3 linked regions of the Arabidopsis thaliana genome follow. The protein of the gene in region 3 interacts with the protein of the main gene of each other region in a pairwise test. Each region holds a gene or a part of one and is shown on either strand. Other genes may lie near its edges.

Region 1 (7,006 bases), about 16 Mb from region 3:
ACATGCAAACCCTAAAAATTATAAAGAACCCCGAAAGATGAAAAATCAATTTTGATCTCTAAAACAACAACAACAAGGCACCGGAGCTGATAAATCCAGCAAAAAATTGTTTTAAAAAACCCTAGAAAACAAAACACAACAGTATAGTCGTCTAAGTTATAGATGTTTACATACCTGAGAAGGTAAAGGAGTATTAGGAAGTTTGGATTTTCAGAAATGGAAGTAATTTGAGTTGCATTAAGGAATTTCCCGGCGATGTCGTCACGACTGAGGAAGACAACTACACTCTCACTCTCGCACAGCTTTGCAGAATAAGAAATAAAGAGTTCGGAAACATCAAAGTGTTGGGTCGAAAATAGAAAGCCCACTAATAAAATTGCCTGACTTTTGACTACGAGAGAGATGATCTAACGGGAGATCCAACGGTTATCAACGAGACAAGTCACTCTGGGGATGAAAATTAAGAGAGTCAACATTGTTCTTTTTTTTTTTTTTTGGTAAAAAGTAAAAACATTGTTCTTTTTATCCCACATTTTTATCATATTATTACGTTTATGAATGTTAGCATGGACAATCCAAACTTTTGTATCTATAAGAGTTCATGATTTAATATGAAATCATTGATTCTTACAAGCAAGGAATATGGGAAAGGTGGAGAAAATTTCCCTAAATTGTAAACTATCTATAATAGGGTTAATATAAAAAAAGAGTCAAAGACTCAACGTATCTTTGGTGTGGTGTCTCGAAGTACTGGGGGGTTGCTTGTTCGCATCGCATTGTTGTTATTTCCACATTTTAGGTTATGAATACCACAAGACTTGAGACGAGAGCTGAGGACATTGGTCTTGATCTTACTGGTTTTAGTTACATCACAAAGACATGGTTGTTGCTCTTTCAAAAATTTACAACATTCGGTCGATATCTTTAATCCACTATTAACAACGTCCAAGCAAGTCTGAATCCTACTTTCTTCACATGATTCTCTGTCCCTCTTGGATCTACTTCCGCCTGCACCGATAGCTTTTGTTGGAAGCGGTAATGATGCCAAGAGAATGACGAATGTAATAAGCAACAATCCGACGGTCTTCATGCATGTATATATAGTTGTTTCTTTTAGATATACCTATAGCAAATATTTTGGATTCCTTTTGTTTTCTGTGCAAAACATGAGAATTTGTTTAGGTATTTCTTGGATAATGAAGGATTCCAATTGCATGGTATTGCGTAATGAACGCGTTTTTCCTTGTTAATCAACATGAACGTAATTAGTTGCTATGTAAATAACTAAATATAGCCTAAATGATTGGCTAAATCACTACATGAATTATTTTCAGTATTTAGAATATTTCATTGGTTAATAATAATACACCATGATTTACAGATTTTACATTCAAATCATCATAAATTAAATGAAAATTCAGATTGAATGAAAAGTTGGATGATCTAGCTAACCAATAAATCTACAGTTTATTGTTTCGTAATAATATGCCTTTTGATTTCGCTTTCCATTTCATAATGAGGTAACTTAATTCAATGGTAGATAAAGTGTACCTTTATTCTTTGATTTGAGGTATTTTTAAATTAATGCACATATGGAATCATTGATCCCTTACAAGCAAGGGAAATGATAAAGGTGGAGAAAATTTTCTGTAGGGTAAATTTATCACTTTGCATTTCATACAAGGGTAAATTTCGAATTAATATGTTAATCAACATCTTCAAAATCATGCAATTTTTATTTTATTTTTCTGCAAAAATGGTTTTATTTCAATATTTTCTCAAACACGGAATTTTGAAAATTTGGTAGCAAATGTCAAATGTTCCCATTTAATCATCGTCATACTTTGTTAGGTAAAAGCTCAAAGTTTCCAGCTTTACATAAATAATTTTTCTTATAATTTTTTGGAAAAAGCATAGAAACAAAGATAGGGAACATATGGATAATAAAGAGGTGAAGTAATGTTTTTGTTTGAGATTAAAGAGGTTTCAAACAAAGAGATGATAAAACATAGGAATCTAACTTATTTCATGGAAGATCCCTATGTGAAGAAGTCCTCTCTCTTTCTCTCTCTCTCTCTATTAAAACCGAGTCTGTGAGGGATCAAAGGACACAAACTTTCATCCCATTGCATATTTCTGAGTCCAGCTTCTCGCAGTAGACTCATACTTTGCTCTATCGGTTTTGTACATGTGAGCAATCTCTGGAACCAATGGATCATCTGGGTTTGGGTCCGTTAACAATGAACATATCGAAAGCAAAACCTATAAATTCACAAGAGATTTGATTAAAATAAGAGGAGATTCATTATATATCATCCACTGCTATTGGTTAAAGAGTGCTTTTTCACCTTCGATATGGTGAGTGCAGGACTCCATTGTTCTTTCAAAATGTCAAGGCAAATGCTTCCATTGCTGTTGACATTAGGGTGGAACACTTTTGTCCTGAATGCAACCTGCAAGAAAAAGAGCATTTTGAATTCCAGTTCATGATTTCAGTTTGGTAACAATGAATAATTTACCTTTGGTGGTTTGAAAGGATAATCCGGAGGGAAGTGAATGGTTACGAGAAAGACACCGCCTGAATAAGGACTATCAGATGGACCCATTATTGTAGCTTGCCAATGAAACATGTCTTCAGCAACTGGGCCTTGAAGATTTCACAATTGTTCATAGAAGGAAAAAATAGAAAGATTAGTCTTTTAAACATGATGATCTATGGCATTTACTGAAATACACACAACAAAACATGTGCCATAGCAATGTCCTGAGACTTCTCTAGCAGAAGAATGCATGAACAGTTTGAGAATCTCCGACAACAATCCTCTAACTCTATTAAGACCAACAATTTCGACGCATTATCCACTTATCATATATTTTAATAAACAAAACAAACATGTATAAACCTGAATGCAATAGATAACTAAGAAAGACTATCAGTGCGAGGTATCAAGTCTGTAAGATCCGTTATGGATACTTGGATAAACAAGGCAGCATACAACACCAAAAGCTTAATTCTAAGAAAATTCACAACTTTCAATAGCTATTTCCTAGACTATGATCATAAGATAACTGCAACGACCAATCTCAACTTTGTTCTAAGAAAAATCTCAACTTCCAACTGTTATCTTATTAATTATGATCAATAGTATCCAGGATGGGTAAATGGATCCCAATTTTTAACAGCTATCTTCTAGACTATGATTATTAGAAAGCTGTAATTTTCAATCAAGGATCAGTACAGCCATAAATTTGTTCTGTTCTAAGAAAAATCTCAACTTTCAATTGGTATCTTCTAAACTAAGATCATAACTTAGCGGCAATTACCACCTCAAGATCTCTAGATAACTTCGTTATAAAATTACGAAGACTAAAAAAGATTTCATTTTTTTGTTTGCTTAAAGATAAGATTATAAGATCTAACAACAAAGCTCAAAAATAGATCAGACACGATTTACGAGAGGAGAGGTAAAGACTAACCAGCACTGCAGGAAGTTGGAGGATCCTTCTGGAGATCCTTGAGCTCTTTCAAGATCCTTTTCGAAGCCATTTCTCAACCAAAAAAAAACTCCTAGATCCAAAAAACCAAACCCTAGATAGATTCAGCAACGCAACAAACAAAGGAAAAGCAAAGGTTGAAAATTTCCGATAAAGGATTGAGCTTTTTTACCTCAAGACAGATCCTCCAAACTCGGTTTTGACGATTCACTTCCTGCAGATGATTTTTGAGAAAGAGACAGAGAGAGCCTTTGAGACCTAACGAATAAACAAAGAGAGAGAAATTTTATTTATGTATGCTTCAAATATAAATAATGACAGCTATTTTCCAGCGAGCCAGAGAATCATTATTGGATAAACATACTTTTAATAAAAAATAAAGGACCCTCTGAGTTAGACAGAGTGTTTCATAGAGGCTTTAAAAAGGTGCTTAAACCCTTTAGGGTTTTTGTCTTCCAGCTAAATCGACTCTGACACAGAGATAAGCAGAGAGAGAGAGAGAGAGTTCTGAGATCAGAATCAATGGCGGCTAAAAGTACGTTGAAGATCAAAGGCAAAGCAAAACCATCAAAGGGATCATCATCATCTTCGTCCTCCTCTGCATCATCAAAGTACAAGGTCTTCAAGGATTGGACCAACTGGTCATTACAGAAAGCCAAAGTCGCGACTCACTATGGTTTCATCCCTCTGATCATCATCATCGGCATGAACTCAGATCCTAAACCTCATCTTTTTCACCTCCTCTCTCCCGTTTAATCCACAAATTGGATCTTCTTCGTAATGTTCTTCTTAGATGCTTTTACTTTTTTTCCCAAATTTGTTCTGTTTTCTTCGTTTTATGAAATGGATTTATATTTGTTTCTGATTCTATAATTCAAAGTCTCATTCTTTTTTGCATGATTCAAATTCAATAAAATCAAATGATCTATGAAGAAACAAAGAATTTGCTTTAATGGTTACTACTACTAGTTTGTGTTGTCTCACTCTGCATCAACTGATCGAATATCTTCAATCAATTTCAAAACTTGAGCTATATGAGGTCTTTCTTGTTGCTTCAGAGCAACACAAGCCAATCCTATTTGCAACATCTCAACCATCTCCTCCTCGAAACCACCTGATTGACTCAATATCTCCATATCAAACACTTCTCCAGTCCACTCTTTAGCCACCACAGATCTTATCCAGCTAGCTAAGTCCATGTTCTCACCTCCTGTTGGTACTAATTCTGCTTGACTCACTGGTGATTTCCCTGTCAAGAGCTCCAGTAATACCACACCGAAGCTGTATACATCCGAAAACTGTGTGCTTCTTCTTGTGTCTGTTATTTCAGGTGCATGGTAGCCAGAAGTAAGGCAAGTGGTTTGAGGAAGTGATCTCATGATTGTCGTCAAGCCAACATCGCCTATGCAGCCATAGCATTGTGAGTCTAAGAAGATGTTTGAGGATTTGATGTTTCCATGTATGAACTTCCCTTCGTGGATTTTAGCTAGCCCTCTCGCTGCACCGGTTGCTATTCGCAGTCTAGCATCCCAATCTAACGGTACTCGATGATACCTTCCTCTGTTTCCTGCAAAGAAAATGGAACCTTGTAGTTTCGATTTATCATCAGAATGAGAGCAATGAAAATAACTAACCGTGCAGTATTTCGAAGAGGCTTCCATGATTGTAATAGCTATAAACCGCGAGCTTATCGTCTTTGGAGTAGTAGTAAGCCTTTAGCTCAGCTACATTTTCATGTCTGATCATACCAATGATCTCCATTTGTTGCTCAAACTCTCGTCTTCCAACGACAACTTCCTTCAATCGTTTTACAACGACCGTGCTCATGTCCTCCATTGTTACCTTATAGGTTGTACCAAAAGCACCCTTCCCCAAAACTTCTGCAGATGAGCTTAGCAAATCATCTAAATCAAATAAGTGGTTTCTTCCACCAAAGAAGATGATCTTCCCGCCTTCTTCAGTGTTATCATCTCTAGATGTCCAGTTTCCTGGAGGAGAAGACGAGTCTCTCTTTCGCAACTTCCCGGAGATTCTAGTCTTCCCGAAACAAGTGATCATTATGAATGATAATCCGGAAACACACAAAACGCAAGCTGCAGACAGAATCAGCAAGAAAGCAAGTTGGCTTAACCCGAAAGGAGTCTTGCGTTGTTTCTTCCTCTCGGTAAGGTTGTTGCCAGAAAAAGCTGAACTTTGGAATCTTTGAAGAGACTTTGGTATTGTACCGATGAGCTTGTTGTTGGACAAGTTGATCTGACTCAGTTTTGGAAGATGAAGATTTGGAATTTCCCCTGAGAATGAATTGTTTGCAAGATTCAAGACTTGAAGGCTAGTCAATCCTGAAAGAGAGGTTGGGATGCTTCCGTTGAATCCATTGTTAGACAGATCAAGAACCTTAAGATTCTTCAACTCCGAGAAGATAGCTAGTAGTGGACCTGAGAGGTGGTTATGTTGTAGGTAGAGATGAGTCAAGCTCTTGAGATTTGTGAAATCAGAAGGGAAGTCTCCGGTGAAATGGTTCTTTCTAAGGCTTAGAAACTTGAGAGAAGAGAGACGACTGATGGTGAAAGGAGGAATCAAACCGTTGAATCCAACCGCAGGCAATCTAACGGATACAATTCGATCTCCGTTTTCGTTGCAGGTAACACCGGTCCAGCTATGACAAACGTCTGAGCTCTGGTTCCAATGGAGACGAGAAGAATTGAAACTAGACAAGAAATGAAGCAAAGCTTTCTTGTCGTCTTCAAGAGTCTGAGAGGAAATCAGAACAAAACAGAGAATCAAAGAGAAGAAGAACAAGAAGATTTGCATTGTGAAGAAACTAGTTTTTGTCTCTAACTGTAAAACAGAGAAATTTTCTTTAGCAGAAGAATTTGTTTCTGATTAAAAAAATAGATAAAAGAGTGATTAGAAAGATACGCCGGCAGGTTTTAGCCGGCAAAAAAGTCTTCTCTTATATAAGCTGAGAAAACTAAAAAAACCTTGGAGCCATTAAAACCATTGAGACCGTTTCTCTGAGTTTTGATCGTTGGGTGTATTTAATTCTTGCTTCAAGAAAATTCATACCAAACGGCTAATTTCTCTTAACTCTATTCCTAAAGCCTGTAACGTAAGCGCGGTAAAATTCAGAGGCTTGGCATACAATTATCAACAAACAAAAAGAGCTGAAATGTTCTCTTTTTTTTTTTTTTTTTTTTTTTTTTTTGATCACCAAGAGCTGAAATGTTCTGTTTTGTGGTATTTTAAGATAATGTCTTCTTCATTTGTGCCTACCAAAAAACAAAAAGTCTTCTTCATTTGTATCATATATGCGTACGTTTGTTAATCAATGTATTATTTAATAGAAACATGATTGTCTTAAGTAATTTTAGAAATTCATTTTATTTTGTATCATTGTTTGTCTCTCAGATTCATGTAATTGGTTAGGACTTTTTTTTTCTTTGATTGTTGGCTAACAAATGGATAGAGCTTTAGAGTTCTCCAAAGTCTAAAATTGATTCAAAAAAAAAGC
Region 2 (7,449 bases), on a different chromosome or scaffold from region 3:
TTATTTCTGTTAAGTGATATTGCGCGAAACTGAAAACGGAATGGTGAGTATTATTTTATAATAGTGCAACATAGGTATTAGTTAATAGTTATTAACTAGTGGCAAATGAAGAATTATTAAGTATAAGACAAAATTATTCAATGCAACTGCAATGAAACCCCGAGGGAAAGAAAGACCCTGTGTGGTTCTGCTATTTCCATGTGGCTGCTAGTGGTCCATCATACGTCAACTATACTTAGCAAGAAAAATTAAAAATCAAGGTTAAAATGGAAATTGAAGTAGTTTCGATTGTTTTATATTAATGTTTTGAGATAGTGCTTGAGTAGTGGAAACAATAAAACCATTAGGAATAACCGAACAGACCTCGAAAGAAGCCTCGGTAAGCCCAAATCTCGTATTGGTGTTTCAAGAAAATAACGTAAAATCACAAGTTTTTACAAACAAGCAAATCACAAAACTTTTATAAATTCAAAAGCTTACAATAACAAAAAGAAAAAAACAAGCAAATTACAAAGCTTACAAGAACTTTAGAAATTTGTTACAAAATTTGTCAAATATTATAAATTTAGTTACAAAATTTTAATCTACAACTTCAAAATCAAAAGAATCCTATTGTCGTTTAAACATCATCGATGTTCACCACTGTCAATTTCACATCCCGGTGTTCTCTAAAACATAAAGAGGAGACATAGGAAATAAAAGAGAAATTAAGTAGTTCAAAGAATAATCGGTTATTAGTTTCTTATAACTCCTAGGAAAAGCTATTCTAAATTTTTTTTAACAAAACATACTCCTTATAATTTTGTTTATTACTGACTTACACAATGACGAATCAATGAGAAACAAATATTTCGATTGTAAAATGTTTTGCTAAATTGTGGAGATATATATATTTGTTTTCTATGAACATATCATTTAATATATAATTTAGTTTATTTCACTAATAAAAAAAATTACAAACTGTAAAATAGTTAAAAACAACATTATATAAAATGAAATTTTACAAAACGAATTTACAATTAAATAGTAAGATGAACCCTCCAAATATCTAATCCTATAATAGAACATAATACATTAACATTATAATTAAATTTGGTTTTGTTAAAGGAGAATTGAATGTCTTACTGCTTACTAGTTTAGGGAAGGAGAAACCGAATAGGGAAATTAATGCAGCCGACATTTTTGACGTCGAATAGTTAATTGGTTGTATTGTCTCTTTAACCGTGCATTGTTACAATTATTAAAGTATTTTAACATTTTGGAATATGGAACACCTATCTTAACTAAACCAAAAAACATGGAACACTGATTTTTATTTTATTTCTTTCAGTCGACACCAATTGTTTGAATTTTGCGTTTGAATGTCTAGAGTTCTTAGCCTACAAGTTTCATGGATATCTAAATCAAACCTATAGTCCCTATGATTTCTTATTTTGTTAAACTTAAAGCAGATGTTTAATTTGGTCTTTTGCTCTTAACTAGAGTAAGTTTTGCCTGTTGGTTATCATTTCTAAGTTCAAACTGATACTCTTCTAATACACTGATCCGTGGGATAATGATAAATTTTGAAAAAAAGATAGTAACATACTGTATTTTCTTATAGAGAAGAGAAATTCAAAAATATTCTAATAGCACAACACTATTAAATGTATTTTTCTCTTACCTGTGGACTTGTAAAGATAATTTGTTAGGGGTGATACTTTAAGCTCGGACGAGCGATGGATCTTTGGTCCATCGAAGCCCATCTACATAACTTGAGTTCAGTCCATACCCATTCATCTATAGATTATCTGTAGTATTAGATTCTATACCACTCTTTTTTTTTTTTCTGTTGATTCTATACCACTCACATTCCACATAATCAGGCTATTTATTATTTTATTAAATACTGTATTGTCAAATAATTTGACTTCACCAAATAACATGTTTTCGTCAAACTCATGATATGATGGATGATACGAATAAGAAAACTGTTATAACTTATAAACAAAATAGGGTGTTTAGTGGTTTTGTACTAGTGAATCATTGCTGAGTTACTACTTGAGTTCAAACATGCATAATACATGTCGTTTAATGGATATAGGATTGTTTGTGATATTATTGCATACTTAAAATGTTTGTTGCATCACGTATGTAGTCCACAATCCACAGGCGCACCTTGCAAGGTACAAAACTCATTTTCTACAACATACGTGCTACAACAGAACGCATTGTCACCATGACGGGCATTGGCCACAACGATTAACTCAGAGTAAATTTGAAGACCAGTTGGATAAGTTTGAAGACCAGTTGGATAAGTTTGAAGACTAGTTTGATAAATTTGAACAACTCGTAGCAACTCATCACACAACGAAAACATCAAATCATAATTTCACCACAAGAAGAAACAACAGAAGATGATCAGATTCTAGTTTTCACAAAGATGATGTTTTTTTTTGTTTCGTTTAAAACAAGACCCACTTCATTTGGTCCTGTCTTCAGAAAGTTAAAAGGACACAAAGAGATGTCTATCGAATCATACATAGAAATTAAGGCAGATTTTTTTCTTCATAAAGAGATAATTTAGTAGGTGGGATTTTCCATTTAGCCCATGGCATACTTCTGAGTCCAGCTTCGTGCAGTGGACTCGTACTTGTTCTTGTCAGTCTTGTACATGTGAGCTATCTCGGGCACCAAAGGATCATCCGGGTTTGGATCGGTTAACAAAGAACAGATCGATAGCAGCACCTGTTAATTGCAAAGCAGTTGTTAGAACTGATCGATAACAAACAACAATTTTTCATCCTCAATGAGTCTAATAAGCTTAATGTTTCAGAGACAACCGAAATGAGTCAAAGTTTAATGAAGACAGCTCAATCTTATCACTTCAACTAGGGATTAAGGAGCAAAAGCATGTTTGATAAGAGTAGATTACTGCCTCTGAAGCAGTTTTAATAGAGAGTATTTGTTTTAAGGTGGGTTTCTATTGTTAACAAAAGAATAAGAGAAACCGAACCTTGGAAATGGTGAGCGCAGGACTCCACTGCTCCTTCAAGATGTCGAGGCAAATGCTACCGTTGCTGTTAATGTTGGGATGGAACACCTTGGTCCTAAAGGCCACCTAGATATCATCACACACACCATAATGAAGAACAATGAGATAATGAAGCAACCATAAAGAACATACGAGCTTTGGCAAAACATACTTGATAACAATTCTCAAAATATTGGAATCACCTTAGGAGGCTTGAATGGGTAATCCGGAGGGAAATGGATGGTTACAAGGAAAACACCTCCAGCATAAGGACTCTCTGAAGGACCCATTATCGTTGCCTGCCAGTGAAACATGTCTTCAGCAACAGGACCTGTACACAGAAAGATAAACTCAATCTCACACCACATAAGCACAAGGAAACAAAGAGACAGTTTTTTCTTCACAAGTATAACCAGACCCCAGAAACTAAGACAATGAAACGAGTTTTAAGCCTTTATAAGATCTTCACCAGAGAAATCAGAAACGAGATAAACCAAATTTAGTTCTAGCCAGATCTTAAAAAGTAAAACGAGTACTTAGCTCGAGATCGGTACCAAACAACACATAAACACACAAATCCAAACAAATCCAAGCATAAGCGAACAAAAAAACCGGATCTATCAACACCAGCTCAGGGAAACAAAACTTTTTAAGATGAAATCTCAAAATCCAAACACGAAACAAGTACCTGCGCTACATGATGTAGGTGGATCCTTCTGGAGATCCTTCAATTCCTTCAAGATCCGCTTCGACGCCATATCCAAAAACCTAAAAATCAAAAATCAAACAAAGATTCTAAACGAATCAGAGAAGCTATAAATCCGTGAGAAATATAAGTAATAGATCCAAAAGCTACAGAGACAATACCTTTGATTTTTCGCGTAATCGGATTGGCGAGGTTTTCGCCTTTTTCTTCTCGTATTAGAGAGAAGAAGAACCAAGACTTAGGGGAAAGGAAGAAAATAGAGATGGTGGTGGACGAAAGACGAAGAATACGAATTATTCTCTGTGCTCACGTCTACAATAAATACCGTGTGGATTATTTACTTTCTTTGACTAGTGGACTCTACTTTTAACCCTCTTATTATTCGGTGGACCTTGAAACGACGCGGCGCTTCTTAATTAAAACATCAAGTTGCATTGAAACGACATCGTCTTAAAAAGTCATCTAATCTAACGGTTGATATCCTATCCTTAAATCAAGTGGTATTGAAATCTAACGGCTGCGAGTTTATTATAAATTTCAAATCAAGTGGCATCGAAACGCGTTGCGATGAAGTCATATAATCTAACGGCTGAGATTTGTATCTTTTAATCGATCGAATCATTTGAAGCCACGTCTTCTCTCTCACTTTGGAGATTTTTCTAACGCAGAATCTGAGAATAAGCTAACCGATTCCGATTTCGAGTTCGTCGCCGGGAGGAATGAACCGGTTGAAGGAGCAAAAGGGGCCGAAGTTCGACGGCGAAGAATCACCTCCACCTGATTTTGATGAAGATCGAAGTGTGGGTGAGGTAGACGGAGGAGATCACACGCCATTCGCTGGAGGTAAAGTCAGAAGGAAAGCGTCTCGCTATAGAGAGCATCGTGGTGACTATCTTCACGTTTCTTCTCGTCCTGGATTGATGCGAATTCTGGAGAAACAAGGTTAGGTTTCTCCAAACTTTTGGTTTTTATTTGATGAATTTGAGATTGAGAGGCAATTTGTGAATCGAAGAACTTGGAGGAATAGTTGAATCAGCTGTAGAATTGTGGCATCGATTTATAGTTTCTTATGTGGTTGTTTGGATTGCTAATGATTGGATTCACCTTGAATTGCATGTGTTTGATGTTGAGAAGGTGATTCATTGTTGTTATAGGTGATACATCGATTCTTTTTGCTGATAAAGTTTTGAAGTTCACCGGCTCGGGGAAGATGAAACGGCGTATTTTTATCCTCACTGATTTTGCGATCTATCTAATTGATCCCGAGACTGAAGCTATGACCAGGAGAATTGCTTTGTCATCAGTAGAGAAGATGTGTTTAAGCAAATTGAGTGATAACTTCTTCGCTATCATTATTCCCACGGAATATGATCTCTTCATGGCCAGCACTAGGAAGACTGAGCTTGTTCAGGTCATGGTAGATGTCACTAAAAGTGCTTCTGACTATGAACTTGAAGTGCTTCTCTCTAACAGGTAACTATGACCGCAATTTTTGGTTTTTGATGTCTCCTCTTTGAATGCTAATACCATGCACATGAGAATTGTTTATTTTCATCTCATTTCCTGATATTGACACTACAGGTATTGTGTTACTGAGAACTGATGTGGGTCTTTTTAGTCTCTGAAACTTAGTGAGCTCTGTTTCTTAAGTGACTTGGCTATTAGTTAGTGGTGAGACCAGAGGATCCACTTGTACCTATTAATCATATCTATATTTATGGAAGAAGATAAAGAATTAACACTTTTAGGAGATAACTACTGAAATTAGTACGTTGAGATACAAATGGTTACAACTATATTTTAAATACTGTTAGATGACATATTCTAGTTTTGATTGAAACTGTTCTCAAATGGCAATCACGATAATAGTCCGTAGAAACATTTTGTATATCTCCCATATCGTAAAACTCAGCTATTGGTTTATATGTGCAGTTTGTGTTTTATACTGATAATGGTTTCTCCTTGTGTTCATTCCAGATTTGAGTACAATGCATCTGCCTCATTAGTAAAGGAAGTTTCTTTTGAGGAATCTGAAGGTTTGTATGAATAAGATTCTGGATATTGTGATTCAATCTAAGTTTGTGGTTAGTTTATTTGCTCATCAAGCTCTACCACTATTTTTCAGGGGGTATCAAGACCAAATTTGTGTGGAAGTGACTACATCTCAACTTTCCTCGCTGTTCATAAACTTTGGAGGGACCACTAGTAAGATCTGTTTCGACTTTCGAATGTCTTTTCTGTTGGTTACTAATAGCTGAAATCATGGTGGTATGTGTTGTTTATTATATTCTGTTTCGACTTTCGAAAATGTGAATGGATTCTTTCATGTAACACAAGACCAGTAGTGTCAATATAAGAAACAAATGGTTACAAGTATATTTCAAATATTGTTAGAAGACAGATTCTAGTTTTGTTGGAAACGGTTCTCAAATGGCAATCACGATAATCGTCTGTAGAAATATTGAAATCTTTTTCTGAATGGTCAATACATTAAGGAAAGATGGAATAGTCTTTCTTATAGTATATACGGAGATCCTGATAGACTTCCAATCGGAGTTGTTGTCGCACCTGTGGAAACCTCTGATCTGTATCCGCTGGCTAGTTTCTCTGGTCTTATCTCTTCCACCATTCTCACTACCTCAATCATGTTTGGTCTCTTCTCTGGTAATCTCGCTGTGCAAACCATACCAACCTGAAGCATCTCCACCATCTCTTCCTCTACTTGGGTACACCTCAAAAGCTCCTCATCAAACACCTCTCCTGTCCATTCTTCTCTAACCACCGAGTTCACCCACCTCACCAGGTTTGCCACTTCTGATTTTCCTGTTAGTACCTCGAATATCAATATCCCGAAACTATACACATCAGACGGTTGAGTCCCTTTTCTTGTGTCTGTTATCTCTGGTGCACGATAGCCAACTGCATGCCGCGGTAATGAATGCATCAGTGTAGCCATTCCTGTTCCAGATATGCAGCCATATCCTTTCCCGTTGAGGAAAATGTTTGAGGATTTTATGTTCCCGTGGACTAGTTTACCTCCGCTTTGTGAGTGGATATGAGCTACTCCTCTTGCTGTTCCATACACCATATTCAGTCTAGTTTCCCATTCTAGACGCTTCCGATCCCTGAGACCTTTCTGACCTGAGTATCGATACACATATAGACCAACTTAGCTATGTAAGATACTGTATAAATTCAAATGGTGGCATTATCAACATACCGTGTAGCAATGTTGAAAGACTTCCATGTTCGTAGTAATCATAAACCACGAGCTTCTCATCCTTAGAGTAGAAATATCCTCTTAAAGTGGCAACATTCTCATGCTTGATGCTGCCAATATTTTCGATTTGCTGCTCGAATTCCCGTTGAGGTACACTCACTTCCTTGATCCTTTTCACAACGATGGTCGCAGAGTCCTCGAGATCAACCTTGTAGGTTGTCCCAAACGGGCCCTTCCCTAAAACTTCTGCAGAAGCTCTCAACAAGTCTTCTAGGTCAAAGACAAGATTCTTCCCTTCGAAGAACACAATCTTGTTATCTCCTTCACCCACGTTTGGATCTGAATCCTTCCTCCTCTTGCTAGGTTTGTCCTTTGAAGATCTTCTTTGCTCTTCTCTATTATGGATGATGATTACCAATAAGATAGCAAGCAGAGCTAGTATCGCAAAACACACGCTTAATGCTATGCCAAGAACTACATGGTTGTGATGTTTCGTGTGTTTCCTTAATG
Region 3 (6,314 bases):
AAGGAGAGGATTAGTACAACGTTGCAGCTCTCAGAAAAATATTGAGATGGAAGAAAATGATAGATTAAATAGTGAGGTGTCAGAGTTGGCTGACAAAAATACAATTGCAGTCTCTTCAGGCGACTCGGTGAACAACGGGCAAAGGGAAGTTGCTTGTATTGATCCTACAGTGCGGATCATCAGTCCCAGGTCGATAATTCAGGTAACCCTCAGTTAGATTGCGTTTGCATTAGCATTTATTTGGAAGTTAAGAATATTCAAGTTCATGGTATCATAGAAGTTAAAACGAGTTCTGTTCCAACCCTAAACTTCTGCTGCATCTTCTTTATGAAATGTTATGCAAAACTAGTTTACGTGATTTAATCAAGCTGGTAATGACTAGGCTACTACGTATGTCGATGTTTTCTGTAAATAGTTCTCTAGTTAGATATTAAGGATGTTATTTCCTGTGCTCGACGGGTAAAAAAAGGTGCTATAAGGAATTTCTTATTTTAATGTATGTTCATCAGGGTACTATTCAATCGAGCAGTGTAAATGGAAACAGAGACCAATTACCTTCCGGAGAAGCAATGGCGCTGGACAAACGTGAAGAAAGCCTAGCTTTGATCAATGATAAATTCAGGGCAGAGACTTTAAGGTCTAGCATGGATCACCTAAACGATGAGGTAATACTGGATTAAGGGTTAAAATTACTAGTTAAATTAATTGGAAATGTTAATATCAGTGACTTAGTTTGGATTGGATGGCAATTCTGAATTACAATATCTACATGATGGTAATTATCTACAGAAAGATTTTGCCTAGCGTCATTGGGTCTTTTTTCTGTCTTCTTTACAGCTAGAACGGATGAAGAATGAGAATCTACTTGAACCTCAAGATGATAATGATTCAGACACCAGATTTCCGGGTTTGGAACAGGAGCTGATGCAGTTGCGTCAGGTGCTGATGTTTACCTTTTAGAGATTGTAATGAATTGAAGCATAAGTGTCTGTAGAAGTCTTATGATCTTGTTTTCGACAGGCAAAGGAAGAACTTCAGAGTATCTTCCCTCTATCTCAAGAGAATTTCAGTTGCGGAAACGCATTGGAAAGGGTTCTTGCACTGGAAATAGAACTCGCTGAAGCATTGCGTGGAAAGAAAAAATCAACCACCCATTTCCAGAGGTACACGATTCAAAAATTCTGCTATTAATTTTCGCCTTTGTAACTATACTAGACCACGTTGAACTTATTATTCCTTTTTGCCTGAAATTGCAGCTCTTTCTTGAAGCAACACACCGATGACGAAGCAATCTTCCAGAGTTTCAGAGACATAAACAATCTAATTGAAGAAATGTTGGATACCAAAGGCCGGTATTCGTCTATGGAGACAGAGCTTAGGGAAATGCATGACCGTTATTCTCAGCTAAGCCTCAAGTTTGCAGAGGTTGAAGGAGAGAGACAAAAGCTGATGATGACTCTGAAGAACGTTAGGGCATCAAAGAAGGCTATGCTCTTGAACCGTTCATCATCAGCAACTCTTGGTGAACATTAATGCACAGATGTTACTTACCATGTATATAAAGTTCCAAGAATGTTGAAGAAGTCCAAGTTCCAAGAGTGGTCTCGAGTTATAGATAGCTTAATATAATTGTTGTTTATTCGAGTCTCAAGATATGGGGTTTTTAAAGTGATGTGTTCTCTGTGTTGTATAGAAACCCCATATTCTTTAATTCAAAAAATGAGAAGTTTAGTTGAGAATAAGAACATACATAAGGACAATACCATTCTTGTTATTTACTGTTGTATTGAACATATTGTATATATTTATAAAAGAACCAACCTTCAAGAATCATAGTACATTTTCTCAAGCCATTTTGATTTTTAAAAAATAATAATTAAAAACCACACACATGGAACCAAATTCTGTAATGAAGATCTTTTGTTTTCATGCCTATGCCAATCATTCTGTACTGAAGGAACTTCTCAAAGCTTGTTTGATGCCATGGAAGTTGTTCCGTGGAGCATCATCTAGTGCCATGATCATGACGGATATAAATCTCTATGATCCAATTTACTTGCAGCTACAAAATGGTGCACACGCAGCGATTCTTCATCGGTGGATCATTCTGCAGTTTTTCTGTGGAACAGAAAATTTTCATATAATGAGATGATATGAACATGATCTCAAAGCCATAGTTAACGAGTACAGAATTCAAGGGAACATGTTGTTACACTGCGATAAACAGTATAACAAGGTAGAGAAAATTACCGCTCTTTTTGTCTAACGTAGGAAGGCGAAGAACAATATGCATAGTAATGATCATTCCAGGAAGTTCACAAACAGGAAGCCTGGATTCAGCAAGTGTCCTATTGTTCTCCAGTATTTTCCCGGCATTGATGAGCTTCATATCATTTACAGTTTTTGGAGTATTTTCTTTATCTGTGAAACAGAGAAACATTGAAAATGCAATTATAAAACAACCTTAAGTAGAGAAAGTAAATGCAACATAAGATTCAATAAGGCCAAGAAACACCAAACACCTAAACCAAAAAAATCCAGGCAAAAACAATACAATTTGAGACATCAATCTTATACTAGTTTTAGCCAAAATCAGTAACTAGAGTGATCTTAACACAACAACAACTAAACCTTTCACACTATAAAACTATAATTATCTATTAAAGCCTCATACTTTACAAAGTTCAACACCTAGACTAGCCCAAAAAAGTTCATCATACATTCAAATCATTGCAGAAAGAAGACAAATTTAATACAATCAAACCCAATGGAGAGTAAAAAGAAATACATGAAGCAATGAATCAAATGAGACTCAACCATCAAAACCGTGAAAAGCTGTAGAAAGAAGCAAAAGCATAACTATAAGTATAAAATACCTTTAGGCCATTGAGAAATGAGTTTCTCTTTAAGAGAAGAAACAGTCATAGATTGATTATACTTGCTTGGACCTATGTCTGTACCATCTGCTAGTCTAAACTTTAGTTCTATCCAATCTTCTTCACCTGCCATCTCTTTTCAATTTCCCCCAGAAAACAAAAAACCCCAACAACAAAAAAAATCTCTAAAAAGAGAAACTTCAAAATTCTTCTCTGGAGAAAATCATCGAACACTTTTGCAGGATTATTCACCAACCCAATTACAAAAACCCAAAAAAGAAAGAAAAAAACAACACAAACCCAAATCAATTCTCGTGGAAAGAAATTTAGGAAGAAGAAAAGAGAGACACTTTGGTTTTGGTTACAAAGGCTGTCTTTGAGCAGACATAACACAAATTGGGAAACTTTCAGATTCTTTTTTATTTTCGTAATCCTACCTGAATCCTCAATTTGACGTTTTTACCCCTACACAATATCATCAATAAAGCTGACTTTTGATTATTTAGTGACTTACTAATCAAAAATATAGACTTGTGAATTAACTTTAGATTGTTCGATAGTGATATTGTATTAGTCAAAAACTCTGGCCATGTTGTACAATATCAATATTGAACAAGTGGATTTCAATAATTTTGATTCCTATTAAGTGGGTATTGATACTTTCCCTTTTGATATTGAACTCTTTAACAACCATTAATTTCTTTTAATTAAAGAAATTTATTTCTTGTGTTTTGGATTCCTCTATTATTTTATAGGATTCTTGTTTTAATATGTTGGCATATATGCCAAAATTATATGGTAAGAGGGGCATTTCTGGAATTTAGGATTAGCATAAACACACAAAGAAACATATTGTAATTTCGAATGTGTTAGAAAATGGCAGCCACCAACTATATAAGCCTAACTACTTTAACTAATTAAAGATTGTGTTTAATTACACAAATCGATTATTTTCCGTGGGGTTTTAAGACATGAGGAACAATCTAGTGAGTAATCTTGATTGGTAATTAAATGAAATAATTGAAATTTTGGTCTAATTAATGCTTTAACATTTGGATTCGATTTGGTTCGAAAGAAAAAATGTTACCGAGGTATAACTAAAATTCCTTCACTTTCAAGTAATGAATCTAATTGTATACACCAACTTACAAGTAAAACATTCGAAGAAAAAAAAATAGATATAATCGGTTTTTGTTCAAGTGGAAATCATTTAAAATGAGAATTAGTTTGGTTCCAAATGGTTGAAATTCAAATGTTCAAGTTCAACCATAAAAAATTTCCTCCTAAACACCAACCAAATATTATTATGAAGAAAAATTCGTTCGTGCATGCCACAAAAAGAACCGATACACCCTTTGGATGGAATAATTAACAGGCTAGTGATACTTTGATATTCATGAAAAGAAGACTATTTCCTTCACATCAGATTAAAGTACTAAAACAAATGTCAAAAATTAATCATAGAATAGATTCGTTGAAATAAATCAAAAGCAACAACTTTCATATAAAAATCAAAGAAGATAAAAAGAAAAGAGGTGAAGTGTGAAATGAGAATCTAGAAACGGTTTGCTTTATGAGCATATGATTCGTTCTAAATTCTTAAGGCATCAATTATACATATCATTCTTGTCTTCTTACTTTCTTTAGGTCCACCATTGTAGTCGAAGCAAGAAACTAATCAAGAGAGCTACATAATTCAGTGCAAGGAAGAGAGATTCTAAACCGAACCGAATATTTCCGGTTTAGATTCAATTCAAGAAATGTGATCCCTGGTTGAGATGGATTAACCAAAAAAGGAGGAAGTTTCAATACCTTTTTGTGTTAGACTGTTTTAATTGCCTGAATCACATACACACCATAAGTTGCAAATTTTACCTGAAACTTTATTTCTTTTACAAGTTTCTCTATTACCAACTACAGAAATATGTATGCAGAAGCATACTGATGTTACATATTCAGAACTTCTGCAATTGTACTGCTAGGTAATGTACTGCTATAGTATATTTGCGCATGTCAAAAATTTCGATACAACAGTCGCATTATTATATATTTGTCACACAACATTTTATTACTCAAGCTTACTTTGGCAGCCAAATGCCAGAAGAATATATCATCGAAGAATTAGACGATAAAATCTTTGGGAGAACATCTCATAAGCTTCATGTTTTTGCTTCTGGCTGTACACAGAGATTCTTAATGGCCCACGAGAAATGGGCAAAGCTTCTGATGACTTTATATATCTATAACTTGGCAGCTAACAAGTTCAGCAGCACCAAAGTCCTTGGTTGCAATGAGTTTCCATGTAACAGTGTCTGACTTGTTAGGTGCATTGGTCTTTAAGTGTGGGATTGAAACAGAACTGGAGCTAGATGATGATGAGGAGACTGGGATGTTGGGGACATCAGCTCGTAAGACTGTAACGTTATGATTAGGGTCTCTAGTAATGAAATGAAGCTTGCCATGAAACCCAGCAAGCAAATAAGGAGATTCTGAATCTGTTAAGTCATACACAGGGACTTCCCCAATAACAACCTTCCAAGTATCTTCCTTTTGATCATACACTTTAATCTTTCCGTTCTCCATCGAAGAAGAAGGATCAAAAGCGTATAACTCACCATCCACCACAACACTCAGTTTTGTACCTGCTTGCCTCGCAGGCCAACCTTCACCCATACCAGACGGCATTTCAACCCAGAGATTTGTCTCGGGATCATAAACCTCTCCTCCAACATCAACAAAGAAAGGCCAAGAGTATAAACTCTGAGGAACACATAACCTACCGTTGTAGCAAGTCATTCCTGTGGCAATAGGCTTTAGTAAGTCAGCCAAAAACGCATTTGGCAACACTTGCGCCTTTGAGAAAGGCATGCTCGGAACCTCTGACCAAGCATCCGTGCTTGGATCATAAACCTCAGCTGACTGAAGAGGAGATAAACCTCCCCGTCCCCGATCAACCCCTCCAACAACATATAGTTTCTTATTCAATACACCTGTTTTGGAATAAGCCCGACTCGCCAACATAGAACTAACTTCACTCCAAGAGTTCAAAATCGGATCAAACCGCCAAACACAGCTCACTGTTTTAGACCTAGAAAGTCCACCAATAACATAAAGACCCCCATCAACAGCACCAATAGCGCACCCACAAAACGGCATTTGCTCAGAGGAGTCCCTCCTACCTAGAAAGCTCCTCACAATCGCACCAACATTAAAGCTCGGTGTAATCATATTCCACAAACCAGATAAACTCTTTCTAGACTCTTCTTCATAAACAACAACCGGCATTGGAGGCAATCTCTGCCATTTAGTAGACACAGGATCTAAAGCATACCACAAAAGCTTATCCTCATGACCTTTAGTCAACACATAGAGCCACTCCTCAGTCCTCCCAAGTTCTTTCCTCAAACTATACACCTCAGAAGTCGAAACAGCCGATCT

The links. The genes of interacting proteins can lie anywhere in the genome.
Region 1: the proteins of MUB6 (region 3) and UBC28 interact in a two-hybrid assay, tested with the Arabidopsis thaliana proteins (one study listed by BioGRID).
Region 2: the proteins of MUB6 (region 3) and UBC10 interact in a two-hybrid assay, tested with the Arabidopsis thaliana proteins (one study listed by BioGRID).

The regions. Positions count from the first base shown.
Region 1 is NC_003070.9:23,830,333-23,837,338, reverse strand, and holds UBC28 (ubiquitin-conjugating enzyme 28), read right to left. Parts: upstream 3,789-7,006; 5' UTR 3,668-3,788; intron 3,590-3,667; 5' UTR 3,548-3,589; coding exon 3,478-3,547; intron 2,863-3,477; coding exon 2,737-2,862; intron 2,648-2,736; coding exon 2,520-2,647; intron 2,454-2,519; coding exon 2,349-2,453; intron 2,263-2,348; coding exon 2,119-2,262; 3' UTR 1,803-2,118; downstream 1-1,802. Other genes in the region: AT1G64235 (Bifunctional inhibitor/lipid-transfer protein/seed storage 2S albumin superfamily protein), read right to left, coding at 719-1,090; TOM7-2 (translocase of outer membrane 7 kDa subunit 2), read left to right, coding at 4,018-4,251; AT1G64210 (Leucine-rich repeat protein kinase family protein), read right to left, coding at 4,476-5,062, 5,130-6,306. UniProt on the Arabidopsis thaliana protein: Accepts the ubiquitin from the E1 complex and catalyzes its covalent attachment to other proteins.
Region 2 is NC_003076.8:21,630,219-21,637,667, forward strand, and holds UBC10 (ubiquitin-conjugating enzyme 10), read right to left. Parts: upstream 4,030-7,449; 5' UTR 3,881-4,029; intron 3,809-3,880; exon of another isoform or gene 3,782-3,808; 5' UTR 3,772-3,781; coding exon 3,702-3,771; intron 3,345-3,701; coding exon 3,217-3,344; intron 3,101-3,216; coding exon 2,996-3,100; coding exon of another isoform or gene 2,969-2,995; exon of another isoform or gene 2,728-2,968; coding exon 2,584-2,727; 3' UTR 2,349-2,583; exon of another isoform or gene 2,230-2,348; intron 1,829-2,229; 3' UTR 1,803-1,828; downstream 1-1,802. Other genes in the region: AT5G53310 (myosin heavy chain-like protein), read left to right, coding at 4,439-4,661, 4,874-5,192, 5,697-5,755, 5,845-5,876; AT5G53320 (Leucine-rich repeat protein kinase family protein), read right to left, coding at 6,235-6,860, 6,940-7,449. UniProt on the Arabidopsis thaliana protein: Accepts the ubiquitin from the E1 complex and catalyzes its covalent attachment to other proteins. Mediates the selective degradation of short-lived and abnormal proteins.
Region 3 is NC_003070.9:7,768,592-7,774,905, reverse strand, and holds MUB6 (membrane-anchored ubiquitin-fold protein 6 precursor), read right to left. Parts: upstream 3,248-6,314; 5' UTR 3,010-3,247; coding exon 2,877-3,009; intron 2,774-2,876; exon of another isoform or gene 2,422-2,773; coding exon 2,251-2,421; intron 2,119-2,250; coding exon 2,063-2,118; 3' UTR 1,752-2,062; downstream 1-1,751. Other genes in the region: AT1G22060 (sporulation-specific protein), read left to right, coding at 1-202, 510-665, 838-939, 1,021-1,163, 1,257-1,533; AT1G22040 (Galactose oxidase/kelch repeat superfamily protein), read right to left, coding at 5,109-6,314. UniProt on the Arabidopsis thaliana protein: May serve as docking site to facilitate the association of other proteins to the plasma membrane.